2 linked regions of the Lytechinus pictus genome follow. The protein of the gene in region 1 interacts with the protein of each later gene in a pairwise test. Links are inferred from orthologs where the notes say so. Each region holds a gene or a part of one and is shown in the gene's direction. Other genes may lie near its edges.

What was found.
Region 2: the proteins of peripheral plasma membrane protein CASK-like (region 1) and epidermal growth factor receptor kinase substrate 8-like protein 2 interact in a two-hybrid assay, tested with the Caenorhabditis elegans proteins (4 studies listed by BioGRID). The link is inferred for Lytechinus pictus from reciprocal best matches to the Caenorhabditis elegans genes lin-2 and eps-8.

The regions. Positions count from the first base shown.
Region 1 is NC_087260.1:13,511,951-13,519,658, forward strand, and holds the start of peripheral plasma membrane protein CASK-like, read left to right. Parts: upstream 1-4,612; 5' UTR 4,613-4,640; coding exon 4,641-4,717; intron 4,718-7,479; coding exon 7,480-7,557; intron 7,558-7,708. UniProt on the Caenorhabditis elegans protein: May play a structural role in the induction of the vulva. May be required for the localization of signal transduction molecules (such as let-23 receptor) to either the basal membrane domain or the cell junctions.
Region 2 is NC_087250.1:9,625,203-9,632,908, forward strand, and holds the start of epidermal growth factor receptor kinase substrate 8-like protein 2, read left to right. Parts: upstream 1-4,643; 5' UTR 4,644-5,223; intron 5,224-6,465; 5' UTR 6,466-6,519; coding exon 6,520-6,596; intron 6,597-7,706.

The DNA.
Region 1 (7,708 bases):
CCAAGGCTGGATTCCCCTTTAACACTGAATATGAATCTTTACCCAAAATGAATATTTGTGTCAAATTTTATGAGCACAGGCTGAAAACTGAGAAGTAGATTGATCCACAATGAGTTTTCCTGCATTTCTAGCTATCATATGTGGTTACCCTGGCAATGCACTTTCTGACAAATGCAAAAAAAAAAGGTTCTTGCACATCTTACCTCAAGGCCAATGTGTGAGCCAATTTCATGAAAATTGGTTCAAAACTGATGAAGTAGTTCAAATTGCAAGGTTTTTACCTAAATCTTGCCATATAATATGTTGTTACCATGGCAACACAATTTCTGAAACACACACAAAAAGTGCCTTGTACATCTTTACTTCAATACCAATGTGTGCCGAATTTCATGTGAATTGAATGAAAACTGATGAAGCAGTTTGAATTGTAAGTATTTTTCCAGTTTTCACCATATAATATGTTGTTACCATGGCAACAAGATTTCTGAAAGACACACAAAAATGTGTCTTAGACATCTTCACCTCAAGACCAATGTGTGTGCCAAATTTCATGAGAATCGGATGAAAACAGAGGAAGTAGTTCTAACTGCAAGATTGTTACCTTATTTTTGCCATAATACACTGTTACCATGGCAACACCAATTCCAAAACATGCAAAAATTTATTTTGCACATCTTTACCCCAAGACCAAAATATGTACATACACACCAACATTCAACCCCTCCACCAAGTTCTCCGCCACCCTTAGGCTTGTTTAGCATCTGCATTCAAATATATGGTGCATTGAGATGTGAGGACAAACAGAACATCTGTTCAAAAAGGGTCTGAATTCAAGAACTAAACCAATGCAAAATAATGCACTGCTATTGAGTTTTGCACTGGCGCTAGTCTATATATCAGACCAATTTAAACTCATAAATTCTGACATTTTCACCCATTTTTTCACTGTTCCTGCAGCCAGATTTTTTGGAGCATACCCCATTTTTAATTCTTATACATAAACAAAGGTCTGGAGAAAAAATCATGCTTTTGTCCACCGTGTCCACAAGTAGGGTATTTTTGACGCTAACAGACCGGACTATAATGACAAATACATTTACATGTCAACGCTAGTAATGTGTGAAGAACCATTCTTTTCCCCTTGTGTATCTGTTATCAACCCCCACCCCCAAAAAGAAATTCAAAAAGAAATTTTGATGAACAAAGAATGTCATTACACCCCAGCCTGTCTGTATAGAGCATGTCCCATTCAACTTAGGCATCCCCCTGTATATAGACACGTTTTCAATTGGTTATAAAGGGGATGTAACTTGGAGGATCATACGAAACAATGTTAATACTGTAAGGGGGAAAAAGAACAAACAGTTGTGACCTTTTTGAGCAGCCCACGTGTTGTGTCCCATAACACAAATTCCACCCTACCCCAACGGCACAATGCCTGCGCAGGTCTTGAGAATGGAAGAATAACAGCATTGCTTCTTCAACATAATTTCATTTATTGATTTCCATCATTTCAAGGGGTCGAGTTCTGTATGATCCCCGGCGCAACCTCCACCCTTTCAGAACCACCGTCGGTTCAGTAATAGGATGACAGGGAAAACGTTATCTCAAAGCCCCGTCGTTCGATTTTGTTCGCATTACGACTCACTCCCGTAGATTCAATTTTGGATTTGACGGGTCAGTTGAAATTCAATAACTGCTCCTGTGCTTTTGCCCCCTGCCATGGGGGGAGATTTGCCCAGTGGTCATGCCCCATTCTTGCAAGATGCACGATTTTATTAAATGACAGTATCCTGAAGTTCTTACATGTAGGTGTAGTGCAGTGATGGGAGGAATGGAAGGTTTAGGTGTATCCAGAGAGAACTGTGCATGTTTTGTATCTGTTTGTGATGGAAATCACTTTTATTGTGAATGATGTTCTCTGCTATTTGCTGGTAAATGACTTGTGGGTTTCATGATTTGATTATTTTGTTATTCAATCAAAATATAATTATAAACTAATGTTTTGTAATTAATTTTATGTCATGAATACAGGCCTTAAATTTTGAACTTTTTTTTAGGGCAAGGCCACTTCCCAAAAGGGTACCTTATATATTTAAAGGACAAGTCCACCCCAACAAAAAGTTGATTTCATAAAAAGAGAAAAATCCAACAAGCAAAACACTGAAAACTTCATCAAAATTGGATGTAAAATAAGAAAGTTATGACATTCTAAAGTTTTGCTTGTTTTCACAAAACAGTTATATGCACATCCTGGGTGGTATGCAAATGAGGAGACTGATGACGTCATCCACTCACTATTTCTTTTGTATTCTATTACATGAAATATGAAATATTCTCATTTTCTCCTCATTGTCAAGTGAAACAACGCTTGATTCCTCCATGAACAGTTGAAACTAGCATTGCTTAAAACTATATGATTCAGTCGAGTTGGTCCCTATTGTCAAATCTATAAAAAATGAAATATTGTATAATTCAAACAATAAAAAACAAAAGAAATAGTGAGTGATGGACATCATTGACTGTCTCATTTGCATGTCACTGAGTTGTGCATATCACTGTTTTGTGAAAAATAAGTGAAACTTTAAAATGTCATAACTTTCTTATTTTACATCCGATTTTGATGAAATTTTCAGCGTTATGCTAGTTTGATTTTTCTCTAATTATTCAAATCAACATTTTTCTGGGGTGGACTTGACCTTTAGGTACAGTTATGGAAAGTTACAAAGGACCTCAAAATATTCAAGGCCACTGAAAGGGCCATTTAAAGCCTTGGACTGCTTTTTAAACAATTTATAATCTGCATGCCTAATCGATATCAAAACTAGGATTAATGAAAAGGGGTAGGGTTGGGAGGTTCTGACAACACCACCAAAAGCCTCTGTTAGTCCTGGCTGCAACAGCCCGCGTTAGTGCATGTACTGTATGCATTGAAATGTCCGTAATGTCTTACTCTAGGTACAGGTAATAAGAAGGGACAGCATCTATTGATTACTGTACAAGCTCTGGTGACGGAGAGGACAGTAATACGAGTGATTCTCGAGGCCCTTGATTGGGTTCTTGTTTCGGGAGGGTGCATATTCTCCGCCCAATAAGCAACAGATTTCTAGGAACATGGAAACCTAGACCCCATTCCCACCTTCATTCTTAAACCAGTTTTTTTAATAGTGGCAACCAGTTTAACGTGTAATGGGAATGCTCAAAGCAGTCTTGGAAGCGATCTTAAGTGGTCTTCAAAACCAGTTCGGAAATCCACCTTGCAATGTGGTCTTCAAGACCACTTTACCTTGTTAAACTGGTTAACCGGTAAGGACACAACTGGTTTGCTTAAATTGGGTGTGCGAATCAGTACATACGGTACAAACAAATGATGTTTAAATCCAACATTTTGGGGATTTCTCTTAATCAACAGATGGTAGTTTCACATAATAAATTAACCAACCTGATATGTTGGTTGAAACATTTCTTGGAGTGTGGATTAAGGGGTGCATAATGAAGAAATGGGGGAAAGGTCCTTCTGAGCGAACTGTAATAAATTTGAACTAAATTTATATATTTTGTAATTAAATTACTTAAGAATATATTTAAAAAATGAAAGAAACATGCAAAGGGAATGAATCTATGATTCCTATGGGTTCCAATCTTGGTCAGTCATACATGATGAAGGAATCCAACTTGAATTGTGTACTCATACTCGATACTCGGTATTGACAAAGGTCCCGTCTCTGTTTGCGCAGTTCTGATCCTGGAAAGCAAAGTTCAAACTGCACTGGGTCCGTGGTGTCAGAAAGATATATCAATGATATTCATGGAATAATTATTGATTTGTCTTACAAGGCTACATACATATGTGTCTGTGTTCCCCTAACAAGTGCAGACATACTTGCACATGCGAAGAATAGTTCTTGATTCATTCATATGCTGAGATAGTTTACCCACATGTGCCACATTAATAATTGATGTACATGTATACATGGTTATTTTGATTGCGCGATTAATATTTTATTAAATTGATACTCATGTTCTACATGTACATGTACATGTATGCAGGTCTGTGAGTCAAGCTTCTATATTATCCACTGTAAAAACTTATATTAAAAGTCAGTACTAATACATTGTGAAAGAAATGGAGATGATGGTATGGGCGATGCCATAGCTGAATGCTTGAGCAATACAATTTTCATTGTTATCAATGATACAGGTATAGTGGGTAGCCATGTGAAAAACTGATTACCAATATCAAAATGTTTAGTTGGAGGTGAATTAAAGGTGAAAATGGTGTGTGTCGCACGGGACTCATAAATGTCCCGTACGACGACGCAACATTTTATCCTCTAATTCACCCATCGACGACATTTTTCTGTTGGTTGTAATTTTTTTTTTTACATGACTTTCAAGTAGTACTTTATTACTACCACAAAACAAGTTGAAGTTCCTTATTTTTTTGGACAGCAGGTTGAAAAATGTCGTGAAAATGGCTGATTTTTCTAGCATGGAATCGCCCATTTGTGTGTCTCTTCTGTTCTGGGTATACAGTCATGATACTTTTTAACACTTCAACATTAAAATGTTCTTATTTTTCTCTCTTTTCTCTCATTTCCTTTTTTGTAGACCTGAAAAGAGAAGCATCAATATGTCACATGTTAAAGCATCCACACATTGTTGAATTATTGGAGACATACAGTTCAGATGGACTACTCTATATGGTTTTTGAATAGTAAGTATATCTTTCACGTTCTTTGGCAAGGCCTAAGTCCCATTTTTGCCACTCTCCACCCAGGTGGAGTATATATGTAACTTTTAATCTGAGAATAGATATCTTGCAAGCTCTAATAACTTCATACACTATACAGGTATATTTCAGGGCCAAGCAGAGTTTATAGCTGACGAGGCTATCCTGATTAAATAGAAATAAAAATAGAAATGAAATGAAATTAACAGTTCCTAATCATATTCTAATGGACACTGCCTATTTCATTAAATTTTTGAAAAGTTATCTGCCTTGACTTCAATTATTGATTGATTTTAATATCCAATGTGCATTTGAGATCATGTCATATGAAGAACTTAAAATGAAATATAAATATTACATATAAAGAATAATCAGGTACATGTAGGTCTATAAAATGATGAATTATCTAGCCATGGTTATCAAAGCATTACAAGTCACGCTTCATGATTTCATAGGAAGTCTGACAAGGAAGGTCTTAATGGGTCATTGACTTGCAAGCGTCATAGATCATGATTTGTAACTCTCGTGAATGAGTGCTAATAAAATAAGAAAAATGATTTAGTTCTCCTCAACTGGTCCCCCGTGAATACATGTAGGTGTAATGACAAATATGAGGATTTATCAACGTATGTAAATCATTCATGTAATTTGTCGTCTCTTTTGTATTATGTATCATTATATGCAGTATAGTTGATGCTCAATTTCTGTATGATTCTTAGCATCTCAGTGTAAAGAAAACAGATGATATATGCACTATACATGTACACACCTTTTTTCTATCATTTCAAATGGACTGCTTTCCGTGAGAAGGGGATTTATTCTATCCCCAAATATGACGCTGCAGTCACACCCATAAAACTGACTCTCAGCCGACCGATCGTATCTCATTGGAAATAACGTAACAGCTTTGATCACTCTGTAGTCGGTTTCACCGGTGTGTCTGTAGCAGTAGTGAGGTTCAAGTTGGTGAGGTTTACTTCATGCAAGACCAAGATGGGATTGCCTACGAGCGATGTCCATTGATGGGAGAGAATTCCTTGTAGAAGAAAAAAACTATCATGCTATTTTTAGCCGTGGATGTTTAGGCCAGGCATTCTATAGAGTGATGTGCGTGCGTGTTTCCATCAATTTATTCGATTGAGAGGATGCCTGCATCTTTTGTTTAGGGGGGTTGGTGACAGTTCCGAGGGCTAGAATTTAGCTTATTCTTTCAAGATGTTTCATATTTTTTACTTTGCTCAGTAATCTTAAATGTATGTTCAGCCTTTGAGAAATGGGCATATCTATTGTTATTAGAATTAGAAATGAACAAAATACGTTTTTCAAATTCTGGGAGAACTTTTTATCAATGTATTGTGTTTGAAGCTATGCATGTTTCAAATAGATGAAACTATATTTTTATTGATGTTGCTTATTGACCATTTTGTCTTATCAATAGCTTAGAGAAATTGGATGAGGGATTTGGTCGACTCCGCCCTCAAACTGTTCAAAAGAGCCCTTGCTAAATCCCCATTCATGACAATGCAGAATGTTGCAGTAGGTTACAAAAAGTAGATTAAAAAATATATCTTCAATACATGTATATATTTATTTTAACTTTTTATATAAAATGCAATTTGAGTAAATAATCATTGGGACTTTACAAAAAAAAAAGTATCTGGAAACCATTTCCACGCATGGCTTGTCAGTACAAATTGTACGAACTTGTTTTACCATGCAGAATACCCTCATTTCATCATATAAAAATTCATGTCTGTTATTCCTTTCAATTATTTACAATTCTACAACCCTCTTTTTCACAGTCTGTTTTGACAAAGTAGATTTTGGATCAATAAAATATAGATTTCACCACTCCTCCATTTCTGACAGCATGTATGTAGTCTGCCTTCCAGGCAAAACTGTATTCAAGAAAGGGGAAGAAATATAATGTGGATATATGTCTTTCCATGTTATTGGAATCGTAAGAGCCCGTCTTCATAATCTGGAAATGGCTTTAATAAATTCTTTTAATTGTATTGATTTTTTTGTTGGTAAAATGAGATTTGTGTTTAGTATGTAGGCCTATTCCATTCCTACAGTGTACACATTGAGTAGGAGCTAGTTGTTGATGCACTAAATTTTTTAATACTGCATGTACAGTACAAGAAATTCAACTTGTCTGAAAGGCACGCTACATGTATTTATTCCCATGAGTGGTGAATTATGCATATAATGATTCGCTTTGATGCAACTAGCTATGCATGCTGCAGTGATGAGAGGACAAACGTATCAGCTTGATAATATTTCAGTCTTAGTTTGCATTAAAAATGTCATGTAATATTTGTTTTCCTTGAATTTGCATTGTACTTGACTCAAGTAGAATCCCCTGCTATGAATAGCAGTATACTAAAATGAAAATATAATACATGTACAAAAATATTTTCATTCACTAATCAACATTTTCTTTCTCTTTTTATTCCTCTCTGCTATATTTCTTCCTTCATATATTTTTCCTCATCTCTCTCATAATCTTCCCCCCCCCCAATTCATAAAAAACTTTGCTTCTGCCCCTCTCGCTCTTTTCTTCACTTTCGTGTTTGTTTATGCTCTCTCTTTGATGTTCTACCTGTTTTCTCTCTTTCTCTCCCCTCCTCTTTCACCCTCCTTTCTTCCATTCCCCTTCTATCTCTCCCGTTCTCTTTCTCTCTTCGTTCTTTCCCTATCTCTCCTTTTCCTTCTTGCTCTCACCCTCCTATTACCCTGTGCAGTATGGAAGGAGCAGACCTGTGTTTTGAGATTGTCAAAAGAGCGAATGCAGGCTTCGTCTACAGTGAAGCAGTATCAAGGTAAGTAACTTAATATTCATACCCCTTTCACACTGACCATTCTGGGGATACCCAGATGTTACCTGGATGAAAAATGAAAAATTCCTCCGGACTGCCGTTCGGACCCTTAGACCCTCTAGTTTGGTCTGCTGTATGCTTGGAAGCTCCCACC
Region 2 (7,706 bases), on another chromosome or scaffold:
AAGGGCTTCCCCAAGGGTCTTATTTTGGTCTTCTTGTTTCTCATGAAGGGGAACATTATGTCACTGAAAGATTTACTACATTGGTTTAATAGTAAGTTCACATCTACAGTTGATGCAAGTGTGAGTTTGGGTTTTGCAGGTGTTTTTTCAAAGTTTTGGACTGACCTTTTAGATAAATTTGAAGTCATAGTGAACTTCCCCTTCAATCTGTTTACTTGAGAAGAATTAACAATAATTTTGATTTGTTTGTGACACTTGAACAGGTAAAAACCCTTTCTCGATATTACACAGTATAGAATGCTACTTGTACGTATTCAGTTCTTGCACCACTGTGTCAAGTTTGTCATTAATAATTCTAAATACTTTTCCCTGGCTTACTCTTTTTACAGTACCCATTCCTCCGTTTCTCAGGAAATATGCCATTAATATGAATCAAAAGCATTCCCACCAGCTTGCCACTAACACCACCAAAAGTAATCAATTAACTTGATTTGGAATTATGTGAGGGATTACGCAAAAAAAAATCATCCTGTTGGAATGTCAAGAATGTTGCTGAAATCGTAATATTTATGAAATATTTTCACCACAACAATACTCCTATGGATACACGAAGACATATTTTCTCAGTCAAGCATGTAATGGTTTTTTTCCCTGGCATTGTGTTATTCCAGCTGAAATGTTAAGCTGTTGTTAAGGACCGATCACTTTGAATGAAAAGAGGGATAGGAAGTAGTATTTGGTTTTAAGATAATTATTGTGGTAAAGTTATTAACTTTAAATAGTGCAATAGCTATCTTGTGAGAGGTCCTGTGTGCCAAAAAACGCTTGAAGGTAAAAGAAGATACTTCCAGCAAAAAAATATTTCATGAGAAAATATTTTAAATCAAGATTAATTGTCATCATTCTTTTACCATACATATCTACATCTGGCACATTAATGTACACTTACTTTTGAGAAATCATGAAATATTAGCTAAAAACCGATAATTCTGATGATCACTAATACAGGAAAGTGTATGTGTGACAGTGTATAAATATTGCTTGGAAAATTACCCAACATTTGATGGAATTCCATTCTTATTTTACTCATTTCTCATCAATTTCACATTTTTTTCAAGAGCCTTTTGCCACATATTTTTTAATTTATACACTGTTTACAAACACTTTGTTGGTAATTTTATTGGATTCTGTTTTGAGATCGTACCACAACTGGTATTTATCTTTAAGACATTTTTTTCAGAAGTTGCGAAGTTTTTCTTTATAGAATGACACTTCACTGAGACCCGTCAAAACACAATTATTGCAGATATTTGAAATATGTACCACATCCTCTATTCATATTTAACCATTTGTTTGGCATGTCATTTCACTCCAACATTATTAACAATGCTCTTCATTATGCATTCAAGCTCACAATCTGCAAGAAATGGGTAATATGCCAGTCGCCACGGCAACTGGTAAAGATCAACACCCAGGAAATTGACCTAATGAATTGCGCAAAAATTGCTTGGCAAATACAACAAGAATGAAGCTCGATTATGGCGAGATGAACTGGCCTTCTGTATTGAAATGACACACAAAGCTGTTTGGATTTGGACTATCTATAGAAATTGCAATAAAGGCAAACAATTTTTTGGCATACATAGAATTCCTGGACTATTCTCTACATTGAAATGGAAAGGAGAGGGGCTTATCAAGGGGAAGTACAGCGATGGCACTGCTTCGGGGCATATCAACAGGTCTGTAGGGGGCTAGATGGGGGCAGGGGATGGTGGATGGGACCCCCTTTTTTTACTCGATTGTCATCAGAATTTCTATTTCAGCCACTCTATAGATCCCAAATGTGACAAACTCTTTTTTAAAAATCATTCTGCTCTGGAATATTTGCACCAGGAGCCTGACCAAAAGCAGACCTGCCAACCAGTACGTTTTGGGCGTATTTAGTACGTTTTTGCAACCAAAATACGGCAGTACAAACATCGTAATTTATTGAGGAAAATCATCTCTTTATGTATGTCTCTATTTCATAAAACTTACACAAATATGGTTGTAAGATCAATGTAATTTCAGGTAATTTGGTCCTTTTTTTTTCAATCATTTTGTTAAAACCAGGGTGAGATTTACACATTGTTTAAATGTTTTTTTTTTTCATCTGCAAGAGCAGTGCGCATTTTAGCTTGCATGCAGCTTGAGCGCCGCGATGAGCGAGCACGCCACACATTTTATTATGAAATACACTTTTTTGGGGAAAAATACACTTTTTTTAATCACATAATACACTTTTTCATTACCAGAGGTTGGCAGGTCTGCAAAAGACCCATCCGCTTCCATTCCTGCTGGAATCCTGCAAGGTTTGTTTTTGCACTAATTCTAGCATCTATCATACTAGACAAAGCAACGGGGTATGTCACAGGAAAAGTGCTGCAAAAGACGCTTACCCCCTTCCCGAATGGGATTCCCGGTAAAGGACTTATGGTATTCCCCCACCCACACTCGCATACACACACTTATGTGTGCCACAGCAGAGAAAGAAATTAGAGTTGGTAGTTCAATAACTTTTTAGGTTTCATTTGAAACTTTGAAAGAGCCCCTAGATCTTTTTATGGAGATTAAGGGATGGCCAGGCATGATTGTCTTCTGGAAGCCTTTCTATCGACCACTGAGGGTCAGTTCCTTAAAATCTTCCATAATAAAAAATTTTCACTAAAAGCCAAGCTACTGTCATAACTCATTTTCATTTGCTGAAGAGTAAATTTGTTATAGAAATTGTGGATTTGTGATATTAAAGGTAAATTCCAGTTCTGGTAACGATCTCAAAATGACTTTTTACGGAATCTAATATAATGACCACCCAAGTGTCTGTTTGTATGAATAAAAAATATGTGCCAAAGGATTCTGGAAGAAATTGTGTAATTGCTGAGAAATAAGCAAAATAAGCGCGGATTCGGTCACTTCCGTCGGGTCTTTATTCCAGCAATAATAATACACTGTCCCACGTGTGCCTATCTGTGTTGGCGATCTTCAGTGTGATCGTATTTCAGCTTAGATTTTATGATTTCACAAAGTTCAGTTTATGTAACTGTACCATATCTAGATCCACGATGATATAGTCATCCTTAACCTTGGTTTTACAGACTTTCTCACGAAATTAGTGTTTTACTGCAACTACTGTAATTTAGCTTTAAAGTATTTATGCAACAGATATGACCCAGATCCATATTGTATACATGCCTAGAGGCTGATCCTAGAAACAATATCTTCAATTTATTGTACATCGTACATGTAGTCAATGTAATTGTTTCTAGAAAAATGTTACAGTCCGTTGCTGTGATTTGTGTTCGGGATCTCAGGTTCCAGTACACTTCTTTTGCGTATTACAATTGATTATTCATATTCACACCTCTGTATCATTAGCCGACCCATCCAATCTCCTTGTTTTTATTCCAAGATTTAAAACAAAACCCCCCCCCAAAAAAAAAAAAATAACTAAAGAATTGAAAATGATCAACTGGGTGAGATCCCCTGAATGTGTGCCCAACCCAGAGCCTCCCTACATGGTTTCATGAACAATTCTTTGAAAAATAGAGAAACGCAACCTTGTCATTTTATACAAAAGCGCTTTATGAATTGTTATGAAATTCCTTGACACGGTGCATTGGTTATTCCATAATACACCCATGGATGAACCAGTGCTTAGGAATGGCAAAGCGTATTAATAGCCATATTGTGAAGGATCCCATGTGACCTATTGCTGTTTAGAAGTATGATTTGGGTCTGTTCATACTTTTTAGTGAATCGTAATAATAACGATAATAATCATAGGTCCAAATAGGGCACACATGACTACTTCAGACCCCCATTCAAAATCACTGCTCATAAAAAATCATTAAAAAATCAATCCCTCGATTGATTTCATTTTAAATCACTGACATTAATCATGAGCTTGTGTTAATTTAGTACCGTACTTATAATTGATATTGACAATTTTGGGCAATCATTTGAATTAAAACAATCATTGCATTCTGGCAAGTAAATACTACGCAATCATTATTGCAATTTGAAGTCATTTGATGTTGTCAATCATTGTTTTTCATTTCAGTTTGGAATCCCTGTATTGGCAATCATTGTGTTTTAAAGTCATTTGATGTTGGCAATCATTGTTTTCAATTCCAATTTGGAATCCCTGTATTGGCAATCATTGTGTTTTGTACATGTAGGATTTGTTTGCCAAATATTGGCAATCATTGCATGTTTTCACCCATTTGATTTGGAAATCAAATTGCCAGTCATTTTCAAATATTTGCAATCATGAGTAATCTTTTGGGCAACCATTTGAATCAATACTGTCATTGATTTTGGCAGTCATAATGTAGGCAAAAAGTTGATACAGGCACAGGCAATGATTTCATTTAGGCAATCATTTCACAAATGCAATCATCACATTTTCATGTATGCCATCATTACAGATTTACATATCCTTCCGGATGTGGACGACATGCCATGCAATCAAAGTTTATTGTGGGAACACACCCTCACCATTGTGTTCTTTTAGAAAACGTCCTATTGAAACGTCATAGTCCAAGGTTCATTGGTCTTCTTTAGATATGGGGCGGTAAGAATATGGGCAAAGAACCAGAACTATTATATGCCCATTGCATTGATAGGTGTGTACATGGTCTTGTGCTGACTGCATTTGTGTATTATTATTACCTCCTAGAATAAAGTCATCAAGTCCTCCTGTGCGCTTCAAGTGAAATGCAGTAAATTGGATATTTTGGAATACCTTGCTACATTGTAGTTTCGGGGTTTGGAGAAAGAAATACAACAAAGATATAGACGTGTTTGTTCTGGTTTAATTTTGGATTTAGCCAGTCCCGCAGCCAAGTTGGTTTTAACTTTTTTAGTGCGGATTGCTGCTACATACCTTTGCTAGTTTCAGAAGTTGGACAAAACAATACTACGGAGATGTGGATGTGCTAGTGTCGGTTTAAGTTTGGATTTAATGATTTAGCCGAAGCAGGACATGGTTATAAAAACCTACTAGTTTCACTGCAGATTGATGCTTCATACAGTTGCAAGTAGTTTCAGGATACCACCGACTCTGGATATAGTTCCTGTTTAATTTGGATTTAATCATTAACCAAAGTGGCTGCAAAATACTTCTGTTTTGACTGCGGATTTTTCTTTGCCGACTTTAGTCCCACTTGGAAGTGACAGATGAAGGTATTGGGCTACTCCACTGTTAACCCTTCGACTGCTGGATTCTGTAATTCTCATAGGCTTTATACAGGGATCGCCCAGATCCAGTAGGCTACTGGATAATAAGATATAGGGGTTCAAAGCTACATGCAAAAATGCCTTACCAGAAAAAAAATTAACCAGAATTGTATGACCCCCCCCCTCCCACCCTGTGTGAGATACATTTGTACACCTTTTACTTCTATCTTTGATATCATGAAAACAACATTCTTCTCAGTTTGATCAATAACCGATACCAAACACATTTGTTTTTGCAGGGGGGGGGGGCAGGGGGAGGATGGGGGCGGAAGAGCTTGGGAATGAGAGAGCGGGAGTATCTTGGTTTTTATTTTACTCGTAAATTCTGTATTGGCTCACATACTGTACATCATTAATTGTTTTTATTCTATGTTATTGTTTACATTCAGTTGCTTTGCAATGCAATTCAACATCTATGTCTACAGATAATACTTGCCCTTTGGAATGTACAGGTACAATTTTATCATCTCTGATAACTTTTCATGTGTGTTTGCTTTTCAGTTCAGGACTACCTTTGATACTTACAGTACTATTTATCACTTGTGAACTATTTATGATAGTTGTTATTGCTGATACAATTTACAATTTTTTATATAGAATTCAACTCTGGATAATGCAGAATTCAATTCAATTCAGCATTTATTTCCATATTCATTAAAATGAACAAAATGAGAACAAAATTATACATACACAAAGGAGATATAAATAACATAAAACAAAGCATACATGTAGGTATCAACAGAACATAACTGAAACAAATAGTGGTGATGATAAAATTATGGTTGTCACATAATTATAAAAACATAGATGAACAAAATAATTGGGCATGCACAAAAAACAATAAAAAGGCTTGTTAAAATGCACATACCCAAGAATTGCATCCCCTCACAATAAAATACCATCATTCACAGGGTTCCCACAGTCATGGAAAATCCTGGAAAGATTTGTGGTCATGGAAAGTCAGGGAAGTTTGAAAATTTGTGAAAGGAGTTGTAGAGCAGGAGCCGGCGAGAAAACCCAACTTTCAGGCAGGTTGACTGGCTGTCTTTAGGAGTATGTACCTCTATTCACTTTTCTTAGTCATTTCTATGACTTTCCACGTGATGTACCAAAGACCACTTTCGACATTTTTTGTTAGTCGTCTACTAGTCAACCTTTTTTTATTTCATATTCATATCATTTCCTCAGGTGGTTGATGAATCTTAGAATTTGAGATCGAGAGACACCGTAACGAAACCCACGATGCCGATTCCGACAGGAAGACAGAACCCGTACGTCCAGGAGTCCCCCTACGGACATCATGGGGGCCACCATCCACAGTGAGTATTCGTTTTCGTCGTTATGATTTGTGAATGTTCAGTTTGTCATTGCAATCCATAATACCCCCCCCTCCAAAAAAAATATATATATATAATAATTAAATAATAATAATAGTGATAATTATTATTATTATAATAATAAATAAAAAAATTATAATAGTATGATAAATATATAAATAAATTTATGAATAAATGAATAAAATAAATAAATATTAATAATAGAAATATAACATATAAATGATTGAAAAATAACTAAATAAATGAATGATTGAATAAACAAGTGAATATATGCAAATATGTACATCAGTGTAATAAAAGTAAATAAACAAAGGAAAATAAATGTATTGCTTTCATGAATCACTTTTTATTGATAAAAAGGGAAATCATTAAAATAAATGATCACTGAGTATTATACATGTAGTGCATCTGAATTTGTTTTCTGTGCGTGTATTCAAATCAACTTTTGTTTGGATTATGCCAGGGCCTCGTTGCATAAAAGTTACTATTATAGTAAATGTGCTTTCGAATGGTATCTTTCATGGAATCCTTGATTCTGATTGGCTGTCTAGCCTTATTACCATACCATCATGGTAGTGCCATTATGGTAAGTGCCATTATGGTAACTTTTATGCATTGGGGCCCAGATGGTATTCGTAACCCGTATGATAAGTTAGCAAATGACAGTACTCAGCATGGTGTAAATCATGTGACATACATGGAATATCAAAGTAACCTCAGACTGGATCTACAGTACACATATTAAGCCTTAATCTGATAGAATAATAATAATCCAAACATCTATGTAGCACTTTTTACGAAAATATCTCTGAGCGTTAAAGAGAATAGATAAAAAGAGAAGGAATTCCATCAATTAATTACAGTTTGCAAATTATGTGAGGAAACTGAGGAATGATGTTCGTAGTATTGAGATTGATGGTGATTTTTTAAAATTTTTTTCGTTAGAATGTATTGGACACATTAGGTTGGATTGTTGAAATTTATGATGCATGTTTGTGTCTGAAGGGGGCTTGAATTGTGGTTGAATTTTCTACTGGTAGTGAAAGTGAACGTGGGAAGAAAGAAATGAGTTAGATTGTATTTGTATCTCAC